Arabidopsis thaliana: one gene and its partner. The protein of the gene in region 1 interacts with the protein of each later gene in a pairwise test. Each region holds a gene or a part of one and is shown on either strand. Other genes may lie near its edges.

Region 1 (4,119 bases):
AAGAATGACACATCAATAGATAGATCTGGGAACAACATCGAGATAATCTCATATTTGGATCAGACAAGACAAGATTTTGTACCTTTTGTCGGACGAGCTACCCTTCTGGCTCAGGAAGGATCTGAATAGACCAGAGTTCACATCATAGATCATCTTCACTCAACTATCTCGTAAGCTTCGATTACCGGAAGAAGGGGAAGATCTGGACAAAATCGATGAAACGGAAGCAGTTTTTTTTTTTTATATAGCTTTTTCGATCTCAGAATTTTGCTTTAGTGGCTGCTACAAGATACGAGTATAACCCTAAGTTTGCACATTCCAACCTTTTTATATTGTCTGGATACGTACTTGAGCCACTTTGGATCATTCTCTGTTTCGGCCTTTTCTCTTTTTATGGCCCAAATCCACCGAACATAACGATTTCTGAATTGGCACGAATTTTTTGCCCTTTGATGAAAGAAAAATCTCGATGGGTTTATCAAAAATAAGAATCAAGAAAAAGAAAATCAAAATCTCTCAACTGCAAGGACCAAGAAGTTGGCGTTTTTGGGTGCAGAAAAACGACACAGCGTGTTACTAATCAATGCCAAAATATTTTACATATGAAACAAAGAAAAGAGAGAAAAGCTTCTTAAATCTTAATCCGAGTCACTAAGGTAAAGTTCTCATGAGAGTAGGGTAACGAGGGAAACGAATTCAAGGGTAACTCTTCCCTTTGATCTCGTGTTGATGACGAAATGCTCCGGGTATTTTCTCAGCAGCATCAGCAAACCGTACCATGGTTTACCTTTTGCTTCAGGGATAGCCCAGTCTTCTTGTGATAGGTATCTTCTTACTCGACTGTGATGCCATACGTTTCCATACTCCTTTAATATCTGTCACAGACCAACCACTACCATGCATTAGCCATCATATTGAATCACAAAGAAGTTCATAGTCAGACTACACTAGTCATTCAAAATCTATGGAGTAACTGACATACTTTCTAGACTTAGACACATATAAGTAGCGTAGCGCGTTTCCATTGGAAAACTAATTAAGGACCTAGCTTCACACTAATTATCACCTTGACATTATACAAGTCTTGTTTCAATTGATTACTCGTACTACATTCTGTATTAGAAAAAGGCAAGGAACTTTCTCATAAAAACTAACCACCGAATGAAGTTTTTCCATAGGCATCCACTCTCCCGGACCACACAAATCGGAAAGCACAGTGGCAACAGACGATACAACATCTTTTTCCTCCAGCTGCAAAAATTGTTGATCATCAGCTTCACGATCTACCTTTGATCTTCCCTCTCTCTTCTTCTCTGCACAAATGAAGCAGATACAATGTCGTGGTGTCACTAGCATTCAAATTCAATCCAAGTCTAACAAGGTTCAATCAGCAACCACCACAATCAAAGTCTAAAGAAACAAGCCTGATGTGATCAAGTAAGCATCATAATCTGAAACATATCTAGTTGCACAATGAAAACTCAAACAATCATGAGCAATCTGGTTTTACCTCCGGAAGCATATACTACTTCATGTCCATCTCTCCTTGTTTTCTTTCCACTTCCTCTCATATCGTCCTCCTCATCGTCGTCGTCATCATCATCTTCATCATCGTACTCATACAACTCTCTACTCCTGACGCCCTTCTTACCCGACCCAGAACCTGGACCCGACTGATAATTATGGTATGGAACAACACTTGTTTGCCCAGAGACGTGGTGCCTAGGTCCCAACGGCCCGCCTAAGATGCTCCGAACCGGTAGGAGAAAGTAGAACTCTTTGTCTCCGATCTGCAAAAGGTCTTGTGAATCGAGCTTGACGTTAGGATTCCCAGGGAGATGAAGAACACCTTCAACGAGGCAGCCATTTTTGCCAAGGACCTCGAGAGAGAAGCGTCGTCTAGTGAAGTCATAGAAGATCCGAGCGTGGTTGCGCGAGATGTTCATCCCACCGCCGAGGGATGAGAGATCAACGTCGACGGTGGCTTTCTTAGAATTCCGGCCGAGTATAATGGAGTAAGACTGCATATAGTACTCGAAATCCTCACCTTGAAGCTTCGCAAATCCAACCTCCACATCGCTTCCGCCACCAACAGCCGTAGCCATGCCGTGAAATTCTCCGATTTGATCGAAAGAGGAACCGGGACTTCCAAATTAGGGATTGCAATCGTAATAATTTGTGAATCGAAGCAAGATTTGTTTGGAAACTGGTTTAGCTTATCCAGGACAAAGGCTTATTTTGTGAAATTGACGATTATACCCATGATTTTAAGACCTGAATAAAAACCCTAATGACACAACTATTTAAAACAGCCGAAGAAACATTGAGAATGGCGGCGAGATCTGTGAGCTTAAAGGTTCCATCTCTCCCGCAAATAGTGGAGCATCTTATTGATTGTTTGAATTTTTTGATTTCGTTTGCTTTAGAACATAGGCTTGGTTAGTTTTATGTAACCTTTTGTTTATTTTCGTTGTTGGTTTGATTGAATAAGTTGCCAAATGATGATTGAAAATTTTGCGCAAGGGTTTTGAGTTTCGGATGATTGGAGTTTACTCTGGTCTGAAGGAACCGTGACAAAATTATTTTCTAATAATTCATTCTGATGGCAGCTCAATCATTGTTAGATATATCAAATTTCAATTCGAGTTTTGGGTGCATGGTTTGATTCGGATGGTTAATTGTAGTTTGTTTTGTTAGTAGAAGCTTGGTTTTGGGGCAGCTTAATGAATTTTAGGATTCAAGTTTTCAAATCATTTAGCCTATAATGTTCTGAAATGTGTTGTGTAATGGCTTTGATTTCCTGAGGATCTGACTATAGAATGTTTAAAATCCTGAGGAACGGTGGGAAATCATGTATTTGTGTTTCTTTTTTTTTTTAAGATTCAGGTTCTACAAATTATGCTTAAAGGGCTTTGAGCTCCTGACCGCTTGTATTATGAGATCCAAGAAAATGTGAAAAGTCGTTTTTTTTTCCTTTCCCATTTTGATGGTTTGGGTTGCATTTTACTGTTCTTTTAGTTATCATGACTATGCTAGATTCTGGTCTGGACATAAGTTGCTTAAGATGTGTGGAAATTATGCGTAATGGATTTAGAATTGGCAATTTGTTATTTGAAGGAATTCACTTCTATAGATATCCTTTAATGGCACCCGTTCATGGTCAGCTCCAAATATGCAAGAAATCGGAAAATGCATTAGTGTAGTCCTCTTTTCTGGTATATTGTCAATACTCAAATCTTACATAAACTTTGTTTCAAGGACAATGAAGCATGTGGTCAAGATTTTGAGCCTGCTGGTAGCTGTCTCTGCCTTTTAGTTTGCTCTCTTGCAGGCTGCAATTATGGCTCGTAGCCAAACATAGTTGGTTAGTAATGAGTCTGTTGTGCTCATTTTTGCTTATTGCTATTCTCAGTTAGTCAATATTAATAATGTATATCTTTGCACCAGCTACCTATATACGTTGTAGTGTCCTTTGCTATTAATTGTTGGAATCGGTTTAGTGCAGTTCCCTACCTCTCCTAAAGAAGCAGTTTTTCTGCAGCGGGTACTTTCAGTACTCTTTTCTTTCTTTGTTAACTCGAATTGTTAATTAAGGTTAAATTAAGTTCTTGACTAGTGCTTTTGCTCCTAGCTGTTGTTAATGTTGATTATGTACTAGTTTGTTTTGGTGCTATTGTTATATTGCAGGATATTGCAGATGCAAAAAGACTTCTTAAGCGCTAACGGAATTGATGTTGGATCGGATTTGACACATTATGGTTTACTTCTTTTCAACTCCCTAACCAGTGTAATAGAATACTTGGAGTCTTCGATGGTTCATAGAAAGAGTTCCCATTTTCATTATGTACAGTCGTTTACTATGTTTTTTTGAGAGATGTACATTGAGAAACCGGTGTTTGCAATTGGATTTTGTTTTGGGGTTTTAAACATGATGAAGAACAATGTTATTCTGATAAGTTCACTTTAATTGACTTTTTTTTTTGGAATATCGTTTGTTACATTTTTTCTCGTGTATACAATAAGTTGTGAATCCAACTCTTTCAAGTTTAAACTACTTGAGATTAACTTAAATGCTCCAATAAAATTGATTGAATTGGATTTTCTAGTTTTGTTTGTTTT
Region 2 (3,130 bases), on another chromosome or scaffold:
GAAAGTTTCCAAGTACTTGTTATTATTAAATGAGGGTAATTTGGTCATTCTGTTCAAGAAAAAAGATATTTTTAAAAATAAATAATATAAAAGAGTATTATGGCAAAAAGGTAGTCAAAAAATATAGTTTTGCAAATCTCCCATTAATTTAACCAATTTCTTATCCATTTCGTAGGCCAAAGTTTCTCTTTTTCCTTCATAGGCATGGATGGGCCTGATCATTATTAATATCTCATATATTAGATGAGATAATCTCTTTGATCCTCAAAACAAGAAAATATTTTTTCGTTTGTGAAAACAAGAAGGTGAGCAGTTACAAACTCCTCATAAAAATAATGATCTACATGTCTTTAAATAAACAAGAATATACGAGATTTTCCTAAAGTTTTTATGAGGAATTTAAATAAATTATGCAAAGGGAAATATCAAACTAGACACAAAATTGAAGTAAAATAAGATAGAAGTAGAAGTTATTATCCTCTTCACTGAAAATTTACCAAGACACATAATCATGGTCCTTTAAGGTGGCAGAGAACTTGAACATGGAATAATGAGCCACCGTTTTCGAGATAGTATTCTGTCATGGTCCAACCACTGGCTTGTCTCTCACCTTTGACGTAGAAACTTAGACTTCTTCCCAATCACTGCACCGGTATCTTCCAACACGACATCACTCAACTTCCCATGGCCTTTCCAACATCCATCAACCGTCTCTCCTTTGACTTTGCGGCTGATGCGTTTTCCAGTAACGTTTTCAGAGAGATGATTCACTTTCACGAACTAGAACCATTCATTAGGTTCCAAAAAGTTAGTCTCGGTGTGAGACAACCGCCACGGCTCTTTGGCATAGATGTCAAACTTGTCTTCTAATTCAAATTCTTTATTTGATCTTTTGGTAACCTTAGGCCCGATATAACGGATGATGAGTTCTTGGGCAGAAGGATGAAACCAAAACCCAACATGTTCCTCTTTATCGTAGTACTTAACCATCGACATATTCTTTTCTTGTTCTATGAGACAAAGAAAACGCAAATCAGACAAAAAGTTAAGGATCTATATATTATAGCAATAATCCAAGGGGAACAACAAATGATCTTTAGAGCAAAACTGAAAAACAATAATAAACGCGTTGAAGACTTGAAACTTTCAGGTAGACAAATAGAAAAGGTGATTTCGTATATATATGTGGATTTTAAGGATTTTTAATATATTAGGAAAACGATTCTTTAAAAAGGAAATATATCCATGTAATTCAAAGCCAATATTCTTAAAATTAGATAAGTAAGCCAATATCACATTTTTTCTTTTCAAATTTGTAATGTTGGTTTTAGCGTATGATATTTTGTCTACTATTTTCTTTTTAAACTTATTTTGTCTTATATCTTTTTACAAACTAAAAAACAAGATTATTCTTTTACTTATCTAAATAATGTTCAAAGACTGGAAGATTTCTTGCTCTTCTGATATGGAGAGATACTTGTATTAGTACTTGAAGAAGCTTATGCCTCAAATATTTTCTTGCTCTCCAAAAAATGCATTGACATGATCGTGATCGGTTGCACAAAAAATGGTATCCACTCTCTAAACTTTTAGAACAAGTACTCTTTCAAGAAGAAAGAGAAAAAATCTATTTACAACGAATAAGTCGATGTCTAACTCGGAAAAACAAAATGTTGGATCATCATCATTGGAGCCTAAAAGAAAATTGTTGTTAAACTATAATTGTTGCCCTTAAATAAACAGGCAAAAACGATGTTGTTAAAAAGACTTTTAAAAACATTGGCAATGTCATAAAAACGGCAACGTTTTAAGGAAAGTTTCAAACGTCGTCGTCTTGAGGACTAAAGTTGAAGTCTTAAAAAGGCGACACGTTTCGGGACAAAGCTGAGGGGAAATCTTCGCGACGACTGTGAGAGTTTGTTTCGCGAACATTCTCTGAGTTTCTCTCGACGCGACGGCGATTGCGAATGTCTTCTCCTTCTGATTCTCGTCTCTCTGTGTCTCCGGTAATTTCTCTCAATTTTCTCTCTCTGTTGGATTCTTTTAGCTTGTTTTGGATTTGTTACCGATTCTACTCCGTGACTTGGCCTTTCTCAGTGCTATTAGTGAACAGAGATAAACTTTAGGGTTTGAACTTTTTTTTTTGGATGAATGATTTGAATCCTTTTTAACGTTAGAGTTGTTCTTTGTTAATGGAAGCTATCATTGTTACTTTGGTTTACTCTAAAGCTTCTTGTTCGACGATTTTTCCTCTGCAACTAGAAATGGTTGTGTTTATGTCAAAACTTGAAACCATGTTTATGGTTTTCGCTAGTTAGGTCTTGTTTTTGTTTTTCCTTTTGCCTTATCTGCTTGACTCTACTGGATTTCTGAATGTGTTCTTCTGCTGGATTCTACTTGAAACCAGGGATAAGTAATCGAAGATGAATATGATTCAGCGATTCATGCAATCTATGGCAAAGACGCGTGGCCTCTGTCATCCAGATTGCGTAAAAGCAAGTAGTGAGCAAGAAGATTACGGTAAATGAATCAAATCTTGTTCTAGAGAACATTACTTTATTCGCATCGTTAAGAGATACTGTGATTGATTTTAGCTGATAGTAGTTTACTCCCTTTTTAATATAGTCTAATCCTTTGAAAGAGTCATATGAATTGACTACAACATTTTCATTTTTTTTTTGTCTTGCAGATGCGTCTCAGCTCAGTATTTGGTGGATAATGCTGGGAAGGAAGACGACCAGGGAGAAATGGATGAACCAAGCTCTCAGTTCACTATCGAAAACTTGCATCAGTATATGGTGGAAAATGTCTGGAATAAGAGGTAAGATGTGCAGGGAGAGGGAGCAACCACTCACTGTCAAAGACTGCCTTGAATGTGCTTTCAAGAAAGGGCTACCGAGAAGAGAACATTGGGCACATGTGGGATGTACATTCAAGGCTCCCCCATTTGCTTGTCACATACCCCGCGTGCCCATGAAAGGAGAAGTGATTGAGACTAAGAGTTTGGATGAAGCGTTTAAGCTGTTGATTAAACAACCGGTGGGTGCAAGACTCCATGTGTTCAGTCCAGACCTTGATAATGTTGGAGAGGTAAAGTGTTGTGAGATAAATTTCGAAATTTTCAAAGATC

The links. The genes of interacting proteins can lie anywhere in the genome.
Region 2: the proteins of FHA2 (region 1) and AT5G18037 interact in a two-hybrid assay, tested with the Arabidopsis thaliana proteins (one large-scale study listed by BioGRID).

What each region holds. Positions count from the first base shown.
Region 1 is NC_003074.8:2,295,954-2,300,072, reverse strand, and holds FHA2 (SMAD/FHA domain-containing protein), read right to left. Parts: upstream 2,188-4,119; 5' UTR 2,106-2,187; coding exon 1,511-2,105; intron 1,314-1,510; coding exon 1,156-1,313; intron 876-1,155; coding exon 666-875; 3' UTR 501-665; downstream 1-500. Other genes in the region: AT3G07230 (wound-responsive protein-like protein), read right to left, coding at 83-153. UniProt on the Arabidopsis thaliana protein: May play a role in the control of plant organ development and specifically in the regulation of stamen development. Does not show transactivation activity in yeast.
Region 2 is NC_003076.8:5,970,533-5,973,662, forward strand, and holds AT5G18037 (NAC (No Apical Meristem) domain transcriptional regulator superfamily protein), read right to left. Parts: upstream 1,035-3,130; 5' UTR 997-1,034; coding exon 781-996; 3' UTR 569-780; downstream 1-568. Other genes in the region: AT5G18040 (target of trans acting-siR480/255 protein), read left to right, coding at 2,424-2,520, 2,690-3,090.